Linked DNA regions of Lonchura striata. The protein of the gene in region 2 interacts with the protein of the main gene of each other region in a biochemical or structural test. Links are inferred from orthologs where the notes say so. Each region holds a gene or a part of one and is shown on either strand. Other genes may lie near its edges.

Region 1 (10,830 bases), on a different chromosome or scaffold from region 2:
TGGAACAAAAGGTTATTCCTTTTGACAGGTGTTACAGGTTCACATTGTACAAAATAAGTTAATTTATTGAGCACTTTTAGTGGTACCTTTTTTAACAGATCTGATGCCTTTCCTAGGTATTGTATGTAATGTGACTTATTTAAAGCCTTGTTTTTTTGCTGCTTTCTTGTTAGTTTATGAGTACTTTAAAGTGATGTACTTTCAGAGTTGATCTGCACAATTAGCCAGTCAGAGCACGTGAACCAGACATGTTGAACATGAATTCAGAAGGATGTCAGATTTGGATGAAGAAAATTCATACCACCAGAGTGCAGCATCCAATGTTGTGGAGCAAGAGTATGTGACTACAGAACTGTAGTGCCATTAGAAACTGTGAATTTCCAAATAAATCTGAACACTTTGTCTTTCATTTACTGGCATTTTTTCCTTTGAGAATCAAACTTGTGGCTTACATTCTTTGCAAAGGACTAGTCTTAAATTTTCAGCCCAGGACTAGGACATGGGATCTTTTGGGCATAGTAAGGAGTTCATAAACTTGTCGGCCTACATATGTTTTTCTGTTTAAATAAAGAAAAGTGTGGGGGAGTGGATTCTGAGGGCTGAGTGGTGCTTTGTCTGAAAGGTCAGGAATTGTGGGCCTGTGAAACTGCTGGAGAGGTTTCCAGCAGTCAGTTCACACCTTGTCCTGGGGCATCCCTGCACATGGTGGTACACTGTGAGAAGAACTGCATGAAATGACTTCTTGCTACTCAGAGCTAAGGCTTATGAAGGGTACAGGAGGCCCTGAAAGGAAAGAGAGTCATTATCTCAAACCAGAGTATTATCTCAAACCAGAGTTTTCAGCTTGAAGTTTGCCCCTTATTGGTCCCTCCCCCCTGACTTATTTCTGTCAAGCCCAGCAGGATTTGTGCAGCCAAATGCCAGATTCACAGGCTGGCCAGCATCTGCTTGTCAGAGGAGACCTCCCCAGCACTGAGTTTTCACTTGAGTGTCTCAGGACTCTGCTTCATCACAGAACTAGGATTTAAAAATATAATTGAATGTGGAGTTTGCTGAGGGAGGAGTGTGCAGGGTGTTTTGGGGGGTGGGGAAGTGTGGGTTTCTTTTATTTACTCCTTCCTCTTGTTATGTCACTTGTTAGAAGTGTGTATACCTTTATTGCCCAGGGGTTTTCAGTAGGAATTACCTGAAGCTGGACATGACCGAATTCTTAAACAGCCCTTCTTAAAGCAGACACTGGCTATGAACTAGAGAACTCCCAGCTCTATCCTGTGCTGATAAATGGGACTGCATGTTGAAATCCCAATCACATATTCAGATTTCCAAGTTGACAATTGCAGATGTAAAACCAAATGTAATTCTAATCTGGTCCCTTAATACCCTGCTCCCTCTATACTGGGCCTGACTTAGGTCTAAGGAATTGATGCATTCTGTGGAAAGGTACCAGTGATAAAGCTTGTCCTGTAATGAACACGTGGGCAGTGTGCCATGGAAATAAAGCATCCGAAGGAACCTACTGGCCCAATTATGGTTTTGCAGACTTGAGAGTGTGTTCTGGTAAGAAATTGGAGATTGAACCACAGATTCCACCTGCTACTGCCACGCTGCTTTTAGTAATCTTTTAACTTCCTTTAAAAAAATTACCATCAGGTAAGAGATTGCCTAATGTTTTCCTTTCATGTGGGCTCTTGAGTAATTTTTTACTTTCAGTTTTAATAATGTCATGCAATCTTGCTTTCAAAATTTGGTTCTATGGAATCAAGTCTCTTAAATTGGTTATTAACTTTATGTAGAAATAATAATTTCTAATGAAGACAGTTTATACATCAGAAATTCCTGTGTGACTGTCTCATTATTGCAAGCAAAGGTTGGACAGCTGTTGGTGTAAAACACCTAAAAGCAAAGTGTGTGCTGGAGTGAGGATGGTGTCCCTCAGTCCTTGGGCAGGTCCTGTGAAGGTTTCCATGTGAGGGTGGATGGGTGCAAACACACCTGGTGTAAGTGCATTGCTGTGTTTGCCAAAGTAAGGTGTTCATATACATTCAATATCAGTGGAAATCCAGGCTTTCTTGAAGATGCAGACCCTACCAGCCTGTGTGGTGATGTAAGCAGAAAACTCAGATCTGAGGTGGTGTGTGGCTTCTGCTTTTGCCAAGTTACAGCACGAGGTGGAACAGCTTAGCAGGTTTTGCTTTGTGAGGTACAAAAATGTTCCACTTCATTTGGAACAGAGAAGTGGAGAGCCCTGCCCACGGGGTGCTGTGGGGTGTCTCATCTCCTGGAAACCCTGAGTGTCCAACAGCAGCTGCTGCTGGGCTTGGTGACAGCTCCAGGGCCTCTTCCCACAGGTGACAGCTCAGTGCGGAAGCTCACTCACCTTGACAGCCCTTCTCCAATTTAAGCAGAATGGATTTGGAAGAAGCTTCCAAGGAGGCTCCTGCTGCCTTGCTGCTCTCTGGTCCTGAACAGGGGCTGGCCCTTGCTCTGCTGCTTTCCACTGAGTCACCAGGAGCTCCCACGCAGCAGGGCAGCTTTTGGGAGGCGATGCAGAGGAGCTGAGCTCTGCCCCTCGTGGACCTAGAGATGGAACAGAAACGTTTGCCACCTTGGGGCCAGTTTTTCTGCCCTGTTAGATGTGGTTGGAGCCTCCGTCCAGCTGCGGTGCCCTCTGTGAGCTCGCAGCAAACAGCAGCCCCTGTCTGCTGCTTCTCTTTTCCCAGAAAAATAACTGGAAGCAGCTTCTGTGAGTTGTAATGCCACAGTTACCGTTTTGTTTGAATGGGCTGAGGCTGGCTGCTCCCAAGAAGAAATAAACCTGTCAAGCACCAGGCAAGCCCCCCTGGCCAGCAGAGCCAGCTGCTGTTTGCCAGGGCTGGGGCTGGCTTTGTGCCCAGAGGCTGGGGCAGGGCACAGACCCTGCAGAAGGGCTTGGGAATGAGACCCTTGGCAATGTCTGTCCTCCCTTCAGCTGCGGGGACAGGGACTCAACACCTGCACTTCTCTTGGTCTTCCTCACAGCTGGCCACAGCACCTTGTTCTGTTTTGCCCTGTGGCACCATGGAATGACCCTGCTGCTGTTTCTCAGAATAGATCCCCTGACCTCATAACCACTATACCTCATTTCCCTGCTCTCACCACAAGCACAGAAGAAATGAAAGCAGCAGAGTAATATTTTAGGTACTCCTCTTGTTCTCATCTGCTTCGGGCCCATGTGTTTTCTCTCACCCTGTCTTGCTGAATCCAGGGCTGCTGGCTGCTTGTTGGAATCAGGGTGAAGGAGGGGACAGAGCACCTTGCTCACTGGAAGAGGGATGCGTTAAGCACTGTAATGCCAGGGCAGAGCTGTTATCAGTGGACTTGAAAACCTGTTCTTGTGTGTGAATATCTGAATGTCCTTGTCATGGCTTATATGTGCAACAAATGCTCCTTGCAAGGAGAGCAGTTGTTGAGGAAATGAAGAGCATCACCTGTGTTTGAGAAACCAAACTGTTAATAAACACAGAATAAAGAAAACAACATGAAGATGTTGGTGCTAACTGCAAAGGCTGGGTGAGTTCTGCTATCTTCCACACCCCTCTGAGGCTTCAGCAGATGGAGGCCCACTCCCTTTGAAGGCAGCTCTCACAAGCATTCATACCAGTGTTCAGTCAAAAATCCATCTTTTCGTTCAAACTCCTTCAGATTTGGCTCACAACTCGTGGCTCCTTGGGAAGCTTTTTTATCCTGTGAGATTTAAGAGCTGGAAATCATCCCTCTCTTTACAGGTTTTCCACACGCTGTCCATCCCTCCCGGCCAATCTGCTCTTGAACAGACAAATTTGAACCTCCTTTCTGTCCAACAGTTCCTGCAACTTCTTCCAGAGCCTCTCTGGAGTTGAACAAAGACTTGTGAAGTGATTCCAGGAGTGTCTGTGCTGTCCAGAGCTGTGTGTGAGCTCTCACGGGAGCTTTCCCTGTGGGCTTTCCCTGCTGGAAGCTCATGTCCAGCTGAGGTGCCTCTCAGCTTCAGACTTGTTTTCTTTCTAGCACATTGTTTTCTACCCAAAGAGCTTGATCTTCAGTCTTTGTTCCTTGCCTTGTTTTCTTCTGATTCAATTCTCTGTCCTAATGATGTTGAATCCTGTGTTTTTGAATGTGAATGATTCTCAACTTTCCCAGTTGCTCTTGGGTGCACTTCCTGCGGCTTTCAAGAGCTGCTTTTTACCATTTCCACTAGTCATTAGTGTAATAGGAAATAGTTGTTAATTGCTTCCAGAGAGACTGTCCAAAACACAGTGAGAGCCTCTCCTACACAGAGGTTCACACTTCAGTTTTTGTTTTGAGTTTCAGGGTTTATTTTCTGTCAAGTATTAGATCTGGATCATTGTTCAAGTCCTGCTTTCTTCGGGCTGTTTCAGGCAGGTCCCTAAATTCTGCTGATACAAACTCTTAGCTGCTGGCTGATTCTCTGCCATCAACTTTAACATAATTGTGTGTCTTGTTAATAAGAGTTCCCACCTCTCCTCTGCGGGTGAATTGGGGAAGGAGAGTGTTCTTCTGAGCAAATCCTCTTTTGCAGTCTGTGTAATGTTTTTGTTGGTTTGGTAAAGGGGAACAATTTCTGGTGAGGGCTATGGAAGGTGCTTCCATTGGAAAATATTCCTTCATGTTCAAGTGATGTAACAGGGCTGCTGGAAACAGGGTGTACAGACAGGTTCAAGAGGGGGATAGGGTGGTGGAGGCAAATCTGACACCCCTTTTGTCCTCCTTTATGCCCTGTTTTCCTGCCCAGCTGTCCTTGTTAGGATGGCCTCAGCCTTGTCTAAATTCTGGCTCTAGGCCTTCTAGCAAAATTCACGTGCCTGAAGTGCCCACCTACAGCAAATTGTCCTGCCATTATTTCAGTGGTCCTGTTCATATCCTGTGTCATTTGAGCATTGAAGCCAGCAGAACACAGAGCCTGCAGGCACCACAACCTGCTTTCTTTTTTGGACTAGAGGATTTCCAGAGGTCCCTTCCACCCCCAGCCATCCTGTGGCTCTGGGATTCTGATGTGCTCTGCAGACACAGCCCTGCCTGGCACCACCTCCCAGTCAGTGTCTGGCATCTTGTGGTGTCTGAAGGGGGTGGCAGGAAAACGGAGAGTGACAGCAGGGCCAGCAGAGGGAGAGGTCCCTGAAAGCATTTTGTGCACTAAGCATTTTTGATGGTAAAACAGCCCCAACCTTTGGTTTGCCACCACATGGGGTGTTAGCAGGATCTTGGGCTCTTCATCTGGGCATCCAAAAAAGAAGGTGCAGCTGAAATTGCTTCAGTTGGTTTCCTTGTCTCTCCCTCTCACCCTCCCTTTAAAAAACATCTTTGTGAAAGCGGGAAGCAGTGGGTGTGGAGTAAGAATACTAGTGACATTTAAGGGAAACTGCTACTCTCTCCTCAGTCCCACCTCAACAAGCTGTTGGCATTAACACAGTGTCAGAAAAATGTGGAATGGATCCTCTCCAGGCAAAGCCATAGTGTGACCCTCTCTTGTAATGGCTGTGGGAGGGGATGGGGACTTGGGTGGCTGTTCTGGGACAGAGACAGGGGGACTGAGCCAGGCTAGGCACAACCAAGCTTGAACTTGTTAGGGTTGGATTTCTTCTGCTCTTGTGTCTCTTAAACCCTGAAGTGTGAGGAAGAGCTAGATGGAGTTGTTGAAACCTGTAATGTGGATGGCTGCTGAAGCAAAAGGCTGGTGAATATCTCCAAAAAGCAGTGGGGTGTCTGGTGGTGCAAGACATTGTCAGCACATCTGATTTATTGGTGTGGTTGCAGGCAAAGCTGAGCCCTTGCTTCAGAGAAACAAGTGTACAAAGGTTTGAATGTGCCTTTTACAGATCCCAGTTTTGATGTTCAAGATCAAAGTCTGTGTATTGTGATTGCTTCCTTCAGCCACAGGAGAAATTAATCTCTGGTTTGCTCTTGTATTAATCATTTCCTTTTTTTGAACACTACCCCATAAAAATACACACTTCAACAGGGGTCTGTAAAGTGCAAGGAAAAGTGTCCCTAATTGCTTGTGTGCACCTGTAAATCTGTGGGGAAATCTCACTGTCCCCACTTAGAAATCTGCAGTACATGAGGAATGGAAATCGAGAAATGGATATGTCCCTGTCTCTTTTCATTAGGGTATTGTAACGAGCTCTTGAAAGTGCTGCTCCTTTCGGCATGGTCCGGACTCTCTATTTTTCCTCGGAAGGTGAGAGGGCAGCCGCGGAGCTGGCTCTGCTCCCGCTGGGGCAGCTCTGCCCGCCTGCCTTCCTGCCCTCCGAGGCTTTGAGAGCTCCGTGCGCTGCGGAGCTGCGGGCTGGCCGCCAGGAACGGAGCGACCCCCGCATCCCCCGGGCTCGGCTCCGCATCCCCCGGGCTCGGCTCCGCATCCCCGGCCCCGGGGGCTCCCCCGCTCCGCATCCCCGGCCCCGGGGGCTCCCCGGCTCCGTGCCTCCCGTGCGGTGCGGGGTCCGGAGGCTTTGCCGTTCCTGCGGCCGGCCGGACCCGCCGGCGGTCGGGAGTGCGGAGGCAGCGGCCCGGGCGCTTTTGGGGAGCGGCTGCGGCTGTCGGAGCGGGGCTGTGGGAGGAGGGTGGCTCCCGAGCCCCAGCCGGGCCGGAAGGGGCTTTGCTGCCGATGCTGCGAGGCTTTCGGAGTCGCAGCATCCCTCGCAGCCGCACGGATGCAGCCGTACCAGGGCAGAGCCGCCCCCGGGGCTGGCCCGGCGGGGCTCGGGCGCCGCAAGGACGAGCCCGGCAGGCAGGTCCGGCCCGTGCCGCTGCCGCCCGTGCAGCAGAACCTCAATTATTACCCGCAGATCTTCTGGGTGGACGGCTGTGCCGATGCTGGGGCTGCCCCCGCCGCTCCCTTCCCGCCGCCCGTCCCCGACCGGAGCACAAAGCCACGCAGCGACCGGGAAAGGAGAAGTGTCGGCTTCCTCGTCATGTTCTTGCTGATCCTGGTGGCCTTCACCGGAGTGGGGCTGAGCATATTTAAGATTTTTCACCTGGAGAAGGAGGTGGATGAACTCCGAGAGGTGAGGTCTGCCTGGCTGGGAGCAGGTCCCTGGGGAAACGGGGAAAAGGAACTCTTGGAACGGGGCTGAGATGTTCCCAAGGGGCAGGATGGGGGCATTTCGGTGGCATTTCTCTGTCTGCTTGTTCCCGTGAGGGACTGCTCGGTTGGTGACTGATTTATCAGCACATCTCTGTGCTCCCGAGCGCTGCCAGCTCTCTCCCCGTGTATTTCTTAGCACTTTGCAGCTCCCCGTGGAGCCAAAACACCAGACTGAGCCACTGTCCAAGGCAGTCCCCAGCTGCTCATGCTCTCAGTCTAAGCCATTGTCCCTCTTCTCTCTTGCCAGTCTGCCAGCGCTGAGCACATCCCTCCAGTCTCTCAGAAACTCACAGGTGAGTCCGTGCCTGCAGGAGGAACCCTCAGTGAAATTGAAACTTTCCACAAGAACCTGCCAATTCTTCTAGATTTCATTTAGGGAAAAAAAAAAAAAAAAAAAAAAGAGAGGTTTCAATTTGGCTGGAACAATTTAAGAATTGTGGTTTGAACTTCCAAACTATTGCTTTTCTTTTGCATTCCATGTTAATGTTATAAGTGAGGATATCCTTTTCAAAAATGACCAAGTCAGAAAGAGATATTCAGTCCTCTAGACAGCTTTTTCTAGATCTGAAAAGTTTTCATCTTTTCCCCCTTGAGAATTTTATTAATTAGAAAATTTATTTTCAAATTTGTTCTGATACTGAATAAAAAAAACCCTGAAATAGCAAAATTCTTGGGAAAGGGAAGTCCTGGTTCTTATCAACTCCTATGCCAATAAATTTTCCTCTTTAGGGGAAGGTGAGCTCTCATTTGAACTGCAATGCCCAGTGCTCTGATCACAGGCTTCTTTAGCAGAGACTGAACATAAATAATAAACCTGAATTTCTTGAGGCAGCTGGATAAAGGGAAATAGTGTAAAGGAGAAGGGGGAGCGGAGAGGAAAATTTAATTGGCTTCTGAAAAGAAAAGGCTGCTTCTGAAATTAGAGAAGATGAAGTAGATGTTGAGGAGAAGTGAAGGGATGGAGTGGGATGGGCTCCAAATACAGAGTCACTGGAATGGGCCCATCTCTCCAAAGGGAACTCAGGCCTGCAGGGCAGGCAGAGCTTTCCCAGCTGTGCTCTCCCTTCCTGAGGGCAGCTCCACTCCCCGCCTGGCAGTGGGATGGAGGCTTTGCAGGGTCTCAGGTGCCCCCTGCTCTCTGGGCTGACTCCTCCGTGGAGCTTGTGGCCAATGTCTTTTCTATCTTTGTGCAGGGCAGGGGAAGGAGGTGAGGAGGGCAGCCCATGTAACAGGTACGTGCTGGGGGAGCAGGGCTGGGCAGTGGGATGGGCTCAGGGGTGCCATGGCAGCCGGGATGGCCTCTGATGGTGCCATGGCAGCTGGGATGGGCTCAGGGGTCCATGGCAGCTGGGATGGGCTCAGGGGGTGCAATGGCAGCTGGGATGGGCTCAGGGGTCCATGGCAGTGGGATGGGCTCAGGGAGGGTCCCATGGCAGCCGGGATGGCCTCTGATGGTGCCATGGCAGCTGGAATGGGGTCAGGGGTCCCATGGCAGCTGGGATGGGGTCAGGGGTCCATGGCAGCTGGGATGGGCTCAGGGGGTGCCATGGCAGCTGGGATGGGCTCAGGGGTCCATGGCAGTGGGATGGGCTCAGAGAGGGTCCCATGGCAGCTGGGATGGGCTCAGGGGTGCCATGGCTGGCGTTATGAGGAGCCCACCCCACAGAGGCTTTGCTGTCCTCCTTGGGTGACATGTCTGCTCTGACAGTGGAAATTTGCTCCTCAGACAGAACCCTCCCCCTCACTTATGCTTCTCAGCAAAACCTGGCTCTGGCTTGGTTTTTGGGGTGTGCAGGGCAGGAGGTGGCACTGGAGCTGGCACTGGTGAGGGGTGAGGCCTGGGAGGACTTCCCACACTGCAGACAAGGCTTGGAGAACGGCTGCCTCGTGACGTGGGGTGCGACCTGAGCAAAAACCACCCGACCCAATGTGCTTCCCACCATTTTGTTGGGTCTCGTTTTGGCTTCCAGGCAACCCAGCCCAGCGGGACCTGCCCCTGGAGTGGGAGCCCACCTCTGGCCATGCCTACACCAGCGGCATCCAGTACCGGGACCGGGGGCTGCTGGTCAGCGAGGCGGGGCTCTACTTCGTGTACTCGCAGGTGCTGTTCCGCGGCAGCGCCTGTGACAGCCACCTCCTGTCCCACGTGGTGTACAAGAGGAACCCGGCCTCCCCGGGCAGCCTCGTGCTCATGGAGGACAAAGCCACCAACTTCTGCAAGGACCAGAGGATGTGGGCCCGCAACAGCTACCTGGGGGCTCTCTTCAAGCTCAGGAAGATGGACAGCTTGCACGTCAACGTCTCCAAAATCGCCCTGGTGAACTTTGAGGAATCCAAGACTTTCTTTGGTTTGTTTAAGCTTTGAAAGGGAGCGTGGCTGGCAGCCCCTTCACACACCCACACCCACACGGATGTGTGAGGGCTGAGTCCTGCCTGGGCACCACAAAACCCAGCCAGAAACCGTGTTTGGGCTTCAGCACGAGGGGATCCAAGCAACTGGGAAAGGCTTGAAAGCGGACACCTGGAAAGCACCAGGCTGTGCTGCATCAGCCTGAAGAGAATTGCACATATTCTCCTTACAAAAACCCCAACAAACTCAGAAAGTGGCGTGCAGAAGACCCTGCTGGAACTCACTACTGCCTGAGAAGATGGTGGGATCTGCTGCTCCCCGTGGTGTCACAGCCCTGGTGGGGACAGCTGGGGGGTGTTATGGAGGTGTCTGGGTCGTGCCACGACACCACAGACAGTGGTGTGGGGATGAGCAGTGTGAACAACTGCTCCCCTTGAGCCATGGCAGGCGCTGCCCAGCACTGTGGGACTGCTGTACCACAGGCAGCTCCTGCTGTCTGGGCTGGGATAGGTGCTGTGTTCATTTGGTGTTAAGCTATGGACCGTTCCCAACCCAGAAAATGCTCCCCAACCACTTTATTTAACTCATCCCAGCTGCCTTGCAAGGAACATGCCAGCAGCAGCAGTGCCCTGAGGGATGTCCCAGAGGTGGCAGCGTGACCACCCCATGGTGGTGGGGATGGTGGGGTGGCCACGGGCTCTGCTGGTGCAATCTAAGCAACACAGCAGCGCAGGGCAGTGGGGCTTGAGGTGGAAGCAGCATCTCGAGCCCCCCTGCTGCCCTTTCAGCACAGGAGGGTTCTCCATGGAGGCCTGGTCTGCCAGCCCTTTCCTGATGCAGCTGGTGACATGCTGGCACCTGTCTTTGGCTGGGTCCTTGCCATGAGATATTCCCTCCTGAGAAAAACACAGATAGTAAATATATATTTTTCTAGTGAGTGGTCCTCTCCTCATTTGGTGCAACAGGCTGGGCCATGGCCAAAGCACTGCAAAGCCTCTGTGATCAGGGGTCAGTGCCTCATTCCTTCTCCAGCAGCGTGGCAGAAATCTGGGAGCCTCATCCCTCTTTGCTGCCCACTTGGCACTGCACAAGGCCCTTTCCATGAGGCTTTGGAGCTCCAGCACTGAAACAGCAGGATCTGGGGCTGGGAAGGTGTGGTGTGGGCAGCACAGAGCAGGCAGCCCGAACCCATGCTGGCCACCAGGAAGGGCTGAGCTCAATTCAGAGCTGGAGAGGAGCTGGGCACTGGTGGCTGAGCAGAAGTGCTGCTGCCTGTCTCCAAAGGCACCACTGTGTGACCTCTGGCCCCAGAAACACTTCTCACAGAGTGGTCTAAGGGCAAAGAAACAAAGTGGTG
Region 2 (10,104 bases):
TATGTATACAAACTAAGGAAGGAAACATGAAAAAAGCAATAGATTGTAGATACCACATCAGAAAGCCCACTTAACAGATTATGCTTTTTTTGACCAACTTCCTGAAACTTCTTTTTTTAAACCAACAAAGGAGAAGTTAAAAGCACATCCCAGAGGGAGTCCTTTCCTTTCAAAATTTTATCATTTCCATGCTTAGAGTGACCCCCAATAATAGAGAAACCTGCAAGAAGTGCTATTGCAGAAGAGTAGCTGCATCCCATACTTCAACACTTTTGGAGAACTATTATGTGTTCCAGTTTACGATTGCACTATTTCCTATCACAGCTGGCCTTTGCAAATTAAAGCAAGAAATTCTATAATATGTCAACCACAGGAAGAAGAAACCTTCTGCCACATGCAGCAGAGACCATAGAGGAAGAAGTTCACTTTGTTGAGACTGTTTATCATTGGAGTCCTTTGAACTGAAGACGTAAGACAAGTGTGCTGTGCAAACACAGGAACCAATTGTAGATACATAAGATGCCAGCAGTTTGAAAAAAATAGGCAATGCTGACTTAAGGGAGACCAAAGGCTGGCCTGGACAGAACTAGTCCACTCTTCTAACCCACCAGAGAAATGAGATCTACCCATTATTTCCTCCACCTTCCCCCAGTGTCCTCCTTTATTTTCTCTCCAGCAAAGTGTTACTGTCAAAATACCATTTCTCTTCTGACATTTGCCTGACAAAAGTAACTGATCTATTTACCTCTATGAGTAGTTTTTTAAGGCACAAAGCAAATACAAGTATCCCATAAATATTTGGAGGAAATGCTTCCAGCACATGATGAGTTCTGCGTTCGTGTTTTGTTCCATGAACCCACATTTTTCAGGAAAGATGCTGAACTCAAACGTGAATAATTCAGTCTCGGAAATTACAGCATTTAATGACAATGTCAACAGGAAATGTATCTGAATCAGGCAAAAATAAATATGAAGGCACAGACCTTTCCATCCTTCCCTGAAGGACAATGAAGTTTAAACTAGGAACAGTCACACTGAGGACAGTGACATTGCATTTGTCTTTTATTAGTACAGGCTAATTTATTTGAGAAGGCACCATTATTGCTTACAGGGTGGCAGACTCCTTCACCCTGCATGCGTCATTAAAGACTGTTTTCATACAAATGTAATTTTACATTTTTATCTACAGTTTCCTGTGGCATGGCTTAGCAAGTCTGGAAGCTTTTCTTATTACACCATCTCTAGCATTCCTATACTCTCATTAAAGAAGGGAGAGAAATAAATGGGAGAAATAGGAAGTAGGAATATGAACAACAGGACAAAAATCCTAATTCTCAGCTGGGAAACTGTTTTTTCTATAGAATGAAGCCTTTTTGCTTAGAGACGGAAATCCTACAGAGGCAATATTATAACAAATGCTGCTTAACAGATCACATGGTTTGGTGTAATTACTTACACACTTGGCTCCATAGCTTTGAAAGGAAGTATCGTTCCCTGCATATAAAGCTCACAGAACTCTCAGGATCCCCAGCTGACAGATTCTCCTCCCATCCCTTGCATTAGCACATGATGGCTCATATTCTTCTGAGATCTCTGTGCCATGAGACATCCCCCTCTGTGTACAGCAGATTGCCAGGAATCCTAGGTTATACCTAATGCCCACCCCATTAATTAGTTAGGTAAGTTAGTTAGTTAGTTATTCCCCATGAACTTATCTTCGGGGTTCACTCAGTTTTGAAAAGGGCTCCCTGAACCCCAAGAGTAAAAATGGTTTTACAACTCCTTAGACAGAAGAAAAAACTGTCACTCAGTTACTCAGGATATGCACATATGGAAAGGAGGAAAGATCTCATCCCCTTCCCAGATCACCTAGCCCTTTGAACAAAATAAAATTGCCTTCTGATCAACATGTGTTCATCCCAAAATCTCAAAGATTCCTATTAAGATTCAAAATAACATTCAGAGTAGAGGTAGGCAAACATCTCCTTTTTGTGACAGCAATGGAATCACATCTGAGATTAAATATGGCATCACTTAAACTTTCCCAAATAACTACAGAGAGGCCAATGATGCTCCCTGACGTGCCCCACAAGAAGGGCCAGGTGTAGCATCTCTGATTTGGTGAGACAACTCACTGAAGAACAGAACTAAGCTGAGCCAGGAGACCTTGGACTTGTTTCCATTGCCTGTCACAGGAATTGTTTCCCTCAACACCTGCTGCTCTGTGATGCCATTTAGCTTATAGGAGTCAAAAATGCCATAGGAAGAGAGGTCACTTCAATTACACAGATAAACTGGGCGGGGGGAAAGTACTATGAAATAGTTACTTGTACATTCATAAATACCTGTTCATAATCACCTGCAAGGAATAGTTTCACATTTATGGAAACTCTCTTGAAAAGGGTAACATTAAACCCCATAGTATTGAACAACTTAAAGGCAACAGGGTTTAACTTTGCATTGTAAAGTTTCACAATTGATTGCTTTGTCAGAGTCATTGCACAACTCAAGGGTCAAGGGGCTTAAAAAGGAAGGCCTAAACCTTACCATGTCTTCTGTACATTTCTGTAAGAAAAACCTCTTATTTACTCAAAAATGGAGAAAAGCTGAATAACTTGAAGTGAGCCAGCTACTGTACAAGGATAATCATTCTATGTCATCATGGTTAAAAAAAAAATCTATCAGAACAGCACACAATTAAAACAGATTTTTATGTTATTAAGTAAAGAATTCTTTCCTAACTAGTCTGTATCTCACAAAGTTGAAACAGAGAAAGGAAAAAGCTTTAAATCTCAGAAGAGATCCATAAAACAAGACATCTTTTGATCTCACAGTTCATTAATTTCAACCCTTCTCTAAGGCTTCATAACATCCTTTTAACAGTATCTAACTGATTTCTAGCCTGTTGCTACTTTTTCAGAGAAAACGATTTGATTTTTTTCTCATCCATACTTTCAATGCTGTTGATAGTCTGTATTAAAAAGATAACACCTATTCTGTCCTCAGTGTTGGGTTGGAAACTATCGACACAAACACAATTTGACTCTCCTTTTGGTAAAATTGAGCTATGTTTTCCCAACATAGCTTTGCAATTTCTCAACACGTATCTTCTGCTTTTTGTTTTAACTCTATAGTGATACTGTGTTGAGTGCAGACTTATCCACGTGGCACTTGTACTTCACAGATACTTTCAATTAACATTACTATTCCTAAATTGCAAAAGTCATACAGGTACTTGATGGGATCCAGATTAAAAATTTTAATTTTCAATTTGTACTGTGATGTCCTAAAATACATTAAGATTGTCCAGAGTGTTTCTCTTTCTTCAAAGGTGGGAACGAAAGGCAGAAGATGGGATATTGACTAGAGGTTTCAGATAAAGCTTAGCTTTGTTCTTCCTATGTATATCCGCGGGAATATGACCTGGCTAAATAAGTTTTAAGCGTTAATCCCTTTGGTCTTTATTGCCAACAGAGGGGAGCAAGGCAGCAAGATGAGTTTGTGCCAACTCATTCACTGCAAACACTTGAAAGATGTAATTTAACAGAAACTCTTAACTGCTTTACTGAAGGTACAGCATCACCTCCTAAACTAAAATTGTAAGGAGAAAACACTTCAAGACTGTTCCTTAGGAATACAGTACCTATAATAGCAGTCTGCAAGAAACACTGCACACCAAGCATCACAACACCATTTCCTCATCTTTTAATTCCAAGCACATTTGAATAGACACTTAAGAAGAAGAAGCTTTAACTTGCAGAATGCACGATAAATTATGCTCCTCGAAAAAAAGCAGCGTAAGAAGGGATACCCAGAGATCACATCACCTCACCTCAGTCAAGGCTATCGTTTTGGCTCGAAACGCCGACTGCGGACTTAAACCGGGTAATTTCACACGCTCCCCGGCACGAAACAGCCAGAAGGCACCCGAGCCCTCCGGATCACAGCAGAAGCCAGGCAAAGGAGTATGAGATAAATCATGCTTTTGAGAACGATTATTTTATCCCAAACGCGGTTATTTCCCTTAAGACCCCATCCAGTCCTACCGGGCAGGTCGAGAGGCAGCGGCACCTCCTTGCGGGGGCAGAAGCGAGGGAGAGCCGCCCGGCAAGCGCCTGGTCCCGCCGCTCCGCTCCGCTCCGCGCCGGGGCGGGGCGGGGCGGGGGCGCGGGGCAGCGCGGCCGGGCAGCCCCGCGGGAGAAGCGGGGCGCTGGGCACCGCCGCTCCCGGGGGAAGGCACTCACTGTCCCGGGGGAAGGCACTCACTGTCCCGGGGGAAGGCACTCACTGTCCCGGGGGAAGGCACTTACTTACTTTCCCGGGGGAAGGCACTTACTTTGCCGGGTGCGCAAGCTGCGCGGCAGCGAGCGAAGCGCGGGGCGCGGAGCGGGGCGCGGAGCGGGCTGTCCCGGGCGCCAGCGGCGGGGCCGGAGCGCGGCTGTCGCGGCGCGGGCGGGGCGCGGCCGCGGGAGGCTCGCAGCCCGGGTACTTCCTGCTGCCGGGCAGCGTTTGCATGTGGTGGACAGCGGGCGAGCGGCAGAGCGGGGGCCGGCCCCGGCCCGGCGGCTGCGGCTCCTCCGGCTGGAGGCTGTGCCGGGGACGAGGTGGGGCAGGGGCTGCGGCGGAGTGTCGGGGGTCCGCCCCGCCGAGCTGCCTCAGAGGGGAGCGAGCCATCATGAGCCTCGGAAAGTTACAGCAAAATAAAACTCTGTTAGTCTGATAGGCAAAAAAAAAGCTCTCTTGTTCCACCAACAGCCAAAAAACCATTTGAACTCCACAAATCCACTCTAAGTAGCTTCTAAGGTCAATTGGAGGCTTGGTTGAGAGAAACAAAACAAGTAAGCTTATCTTTCAATGTTTCATTTTATTTCAAGAATGATTTACTAGCCTGGTGAAAAGTGAAATAAAAATCTCACAGGTCAGGAAAACAGGAAATATGAATGCATGGACATAACAGCCAGAGGATGCAGGTGAAAAGCTTTACAATAACTAGAGTCAAGTGTCATGTGTGTACTGCCAAGCCACATGGGCGAGTTCAGGTCATGGAGATTTCCAAGGCAGAATTTCAAATGAAAAGCATTTAAGCTTTCCATATAGAAGTGTTTAGATAATGGATCGAGTTTGAGAAAGAGTCAAAGTGTTACAAGATGCAAGACACTCAAAGGCACCTCTGTACACATTCCCAAAGTCCACCAGCACAGCCTAACTGTGGGTTGGAGTGGACTCAGGAACTGGTGAGGACTTCTAACAGGACACCCAAATAGCTGAAAATAGCTCAGTGCGGGTCACACCCTGTTGGGTTCATGAGGAGAACCCGATTCATGTCAATTAACTTATAGATCTTTGGTGCTGATGTAAAGGCCTGGCACTCCTGGTGATGTGCAGCTGGCACAATCACTGCACACTGGTTGGTGTTTGCTGCAGTCCCGTCTGATACCCTGGCTCCAGCACACAGGTGTCTGCCTTGATCCTCTAGAAGACTCAGTCCATAGAAGCAGTGAGACCATAGTTTGTCACATTTCTTAATCAGTCCCAGATGTCCCTGGGCATCTCTAGAGCTCTGAAAAGTAGTGGGCAATAGTTTCTGGTCTTCTTTGAATTTTATCATCAATGTTTAAAATAATGTGGAAATACTCAGCATTAGACCAACCTCTAAAAGTATTGTAGGGTGAGACAATAAGGAATTCCTCAAGGAGGGGAGAAAACATTTACCAATTTTTAAGTAAAAAATTGGTAAATGTTTTCTCCCCTGCCCCAACTTAGGTAAAGATATTTCATAATAACAATAACAATAAGAAAAAACAACAATAAAATGAACAGACCAGACAACAACCTTTTTCCCAATGAAAACTTTATGTAAAAATGAAAGATCTGACTAAATATACATTGTCTTGGGTTTGGGGATTTCTTTTTGGTAGGAAATTTGGATTCCAAAAGTTTATGTAAAATGAGCTATTTCTGAAGTGCACAGTTAGTGCCTCATGTTTCCATTTTCCTCTATAGGACAAGCATTTTGATCTTGTAACTTTCTTCTTGGAGAAGTAGTGCACAAATCCCACATCTGTCTTGCTCGCCCTCCTTTCCTCTTTATATCTTCATTTCATTATCAAGTATTCTGCTGAGTTTAATATTCCCTTCTCCTAACAAAGCATTGGTGAAAATAAAATTTAGTTTCATAAATGCATAATAGATTCCAGCAGTCAAGTAGAATGCAATCCTATCTATAATGTAAATAATCTGGAAAAATAAAAGACGTGCTGAATTACCTTTAATAGATTGCTGTGCAATAGTAAATTGTGAGACAGAACAAACTCATCAGGTTTGCCCTAAAGGAACTAATATGAAGAAGTGTTAGAGTAGAATAAATACACTGTGCTTTATACTTTTTTTAAAAAGACAGGTTGTTAGTATCCCTTGAAATGTCATGGGTTTATGTATCATTGTTCCCACTGTTACAAATATATACAAAATCTACTTTAGAAAGTGTAAGCAGGAAAGGAAGTCTCTCATTATATATTCATCAAAAGGGAAAAAAAAGCTGATTCCAGCCTCACTACATCTACAGTAGGTCAGCTGTTCATCACATTTTAAATGTACATGTGCATAGATCAAGAGAGTTGGGGGATGGTGTAAAATGGGGCAAGAATGAAACCTCAAGCCTGTCACTGAAGGGGAAGTCCTTGCAGGAAGGACTGTGAGTCACATTAGCCAGCCAGTTCAAGCCCAGCAATTGATTTCCCACTTTGGAAAGATCTGACTCCCAGACAATGTCTCTACTGCTGATTTAAGCATGGCTGCAAGGCTGTGATCCAATATGAAGGCCAGCTGGCAATGTAGGGGTCCACGTCCATGCTGTTGGCATCCAGAACATGGGGACGACCCCAGAATGGCCCATGTGTCCTGGTTTCTGCTGGGATAGAGCTCAGTTTCTTCTTATTAGCTGGTGCAGTGCAGTGTTTTGGATTTAGTATGAGAATAATGTTGGTAACACACTGTAGTTTAGTTGTTTATGCTTTCACTAAGTCAAAGCCTTTTTAGTTTTCCATACTGTGACAGTGAGCAGGTACACCAGAAACCAGGATGGCGCTGACCTGAACTGGCTAAAGGGATGTTCCATACCTGTCATATTCCATATCCTGTCATATTTAAATATATCATATATATTATTATATACTGGGGAAGTTGGCCAGGAGGGAGCTGGTCATATTTTGGGGGTGGGCTGGGCACCGAGTAGTGGGTGGTGAGAAACTCTGTTGGAAAACACTTGGTTTCTCTTGGGTTTTATTCCCCCCCCCCCCTCACTCTCCTTTTCATTACTATTATTATTATTAGTAGTAGTAGTAGTGCTACTTCTACTACTACTACTATTCTTTTTTACTTTGTTTCAATTATTAAACTGTTCTTATCCCAACCCCTGAGTTTTTACCTTTTTCCAGGTCTCCTCCCTACCCCATTGGGAAAGCAGCACTGAGTGAGCAGCTGCCTGGTGCTCAGTTGCCAGCTGAAGCTAAACCACAGCACCACGTTAACTTTCAGATCAGCTCTGGAATATTTTTTGAGAGTGGTAAGTGGTCTGGGCCAGGGAAGAGTCGAGCAATTTGTCAGTAGACTCAGAGGAATGTCCAATGATATTTGGTTGGGCAGTGATTTAATGAGCCTTGTAGGGTTCACACCAATCCCTCTACATACCTGTGCTGATCCCTATTTGGATTGTGTCTGGGGGCATGAAGAGGCACAAGCTGCAGGGAACAGTGACTCTGGGCAGTAAACTAAACTTTGTCATGGACAATGAAAACAGGCAACAAACTTCTCTCTACATTTTATATATTCCTTAATCTCATTGTTGCTGAGTTCTTTCTGCGGTATGCTTGAATACAAAAGCAGAGCATTAATAGAAGACTAAAAAATAGACAGTAAAGCATAAATGGCATAACCAGGGAAATAATTAGTGGGAGATCCCAAGGAATACTTGAGTTCACTCAATTAAAGAAAAAACAGAGGAAATATCACTTTGTTCAAAAATAGATTTGTAAGAATTTAAGTTCTTTATAAAAGAGGAAGGAAAGATAGAGCATGGACACATGTAAAGCTGAAACATTTAGACATCTGGCTGTTTTGTATGAGCCAGAGTTTTGGAGTCACAGCAGACACAGTAAAATGTCTTTTCTTTAGAAATTCCAGCACTTACACAGTCACTACTTGTACTGTTTCTCTCATAATTTTATCTCAAGACATTATCATTAAGTAAATTGCATACTGTCAAAATGCTTTATAATAATGTAGCAAATTTTTAGCAAGTAATAAAGAGTGGATTTAAAAAAAATGAGATACAAGTCATGCAGTCATTCTTCACTCAGAGTTACTGGAGAAAATAAAAGCAGTATATTCTTTAGCATTATTTTTTTTAATAATTTCCTTTCTTATTGTAACCTACTATTTTAAAGAAAGTAATGTTGACCTATAAGTAGAATATGTATAAATTTTATTCTAAATATGCCCTTCATGTCCTAATGATGGGTTGCTTTTGTTTGTTAAAAAAAAAAATAGAAAATAAATTTTATTATCAAGTATGAGATAACAAGTTAATGGACCTTATATGTGGATATTTATCAGTTTCTGCTCTTATTTCCAGTTTGGAGCCTGGGAAAATTAAGTTTTGTGACACTAAAGAGAAATTCAAACAAAAAACCAAAATCTTAGTTTTAAATGTAGTTCCATTATGATTATTTGAAATATATCACACAATAATTTACAATCTTGACTAATTTTGTGATTAAAATTTTAGAAAATATTAAAAACATTTTGGGGAATAATGCACAAATCCTTATAAACTTTGACTCAACATTCATTTGACTTGTTGTTCAGACTAACAATACACATACTAACTAGGCTAAAGCTGGGAAAGCTGGCATCTTTCCTGTAGACAGTGATCTGCCTAAAGCACAGCCACTTGCATTTTATTACACTGATATTTTCTGGCCATAAATCCTGAATTCAGCCTTTTTTATTTCATCTTGTTACTTCCAGTTTCCATGAACAACTCATAATAATACAGCAGATACTTGGCTTGAGATCCTCTTGGCTTGAGATCCTCTAATTCTGAAAGTTAGTAAAAGCTGCTTCTTCTGCATCTTTGCTGATTTAAATATTTTATTCACCTGCCATTATGTGGTTTTATACATAGACATATTTCCCATTTTGTTTCCACTTGTTTAATGGCTGTGAGTGGAAAAATTGCTATTTAGGGAATAAAAGCAGGCCCAACACTGGAAGCCAGTTTGACAACCATCTGCATTGAACTAGGTTGTGTTGGTGGGACAGCATCCTGAGTATTCTGATGGAAGTTGAAACTGGCCTATGTGCACTACAGAATATCCCAATTGCCTTTCTGTAGAAATGACTGCTCAAATAAAAGGTTGTTGTGGTTCTCAAGAATATCATCCTACAGAGGCAAGAAAAGCAGCTGGACTGATGTGTTCTTCACAATTCATTTGGGTAGGCAATGAGAAGGTTGAGCTGACAACTAGTGACTCCAAGAGTCTTCCTCTTTTAAACATTTGTGGCCATTTACAGATATCCTTATTAATCTGAAGAGACTGCCCACACTAATAAAGAATGTGTTTAATTAATGCTTAATTTAGTACACAGTTCTGTGATCACTAATATTGAATTGCCTGAAAGAACAGATTTGAGCTAATCCAGGAACAGGTATGTGTGATCATTTCAAATTAGCAAGATCACACAGTGGGGATATTTTTGTTTGCTTGTTTTGTTTCTGCCTTATATTCAGGGCATTGCACCTCCTATTGCCAGCCTGGACAAGCATTCAGCCTGTGTCTTGCAGGTCCTGCACCACAGAAATTGCCAGTTCAGAAGCAACATATTGTTTCTGGAGGCTTTTTCACAGTGGGCTGTTGTTGAAGAGTAGCTTTCCTTTTCCAGGATCAGCTACTTGCTACAGAAAATTTCCCCGTGGAAAGGCACTGGCCCATTGTTAGCACTGCTGCCGTGCAAGGGCAGCGCAGTGCTCAGGCTGCCCTTGAACAGCTGCAGTAGCAGTGGGCAGGTAATCCCATTGCTGATCACAGCCACACAGCTGTATGA

Evidence for each region.
Region 1: the proteins of LYN (region 2) and FASLG form a complex in vitro, tested with the Homo sapiens proteins (2 studies listed by BioGRID, with this or other methods). The link is inferred for Lonchura striata from reciprocal best matches to the Homo sapiens genes LYN and FASLG.

The regions. Positions count from the first base shown.
Region 1 is NC_134611.1:357,562-368,391, reverse strand, and holds FASLG (tumor necrosis factor ligand superfamily member 6), read left to right. Parts: upstream 1-6,637; 5' UTR 6,638-6,689; coding exon 6,690-7,043; intron 7,044-7,370; coding exon 7,371-7,416; intron 7,417-7,499; coding exon 7,500-7,528; intron 7,529-8,330; coding exon 8,331-8,355; intron 8,356-9,093; coding exon 9,094-9,488; downstream 9,489-10,830. UniProt on the Homo sapiens protein: Cytokine that binds to TNFRSF6/FAS, a receptor that transduces the apoptotic signal into cells. Involved in cytotoxic T-cell-mediated apoptosis, natural killer cell-mediated apoptosis and in T-cell development.
Region 2 is NC_134603.1:39,097,484-39,107,587, forward strand, and holds the start of LYN (tyrosine-protein kinase Lyn), read right to left. Parts: upstream 4,435-10,104; 5' UTR 4,337-4,434; intron 4,137-4,336; exon of another isoform or gene 4,047-4,136; intron 3,886-4,046; exon of another isoform or gene 3,760-3,885; intron 1-3,759. UniProt on the Homo sapiens protein: Non-receptor tyrosine-protein kinase that transmits signals from cell surface receptors and plays an important role in the regulation of innate and adaptive immune responses, hematopoiesis, responses to growth factors and cytokines, integrin signaling, but also responses to DNA damage and genotoxic agents.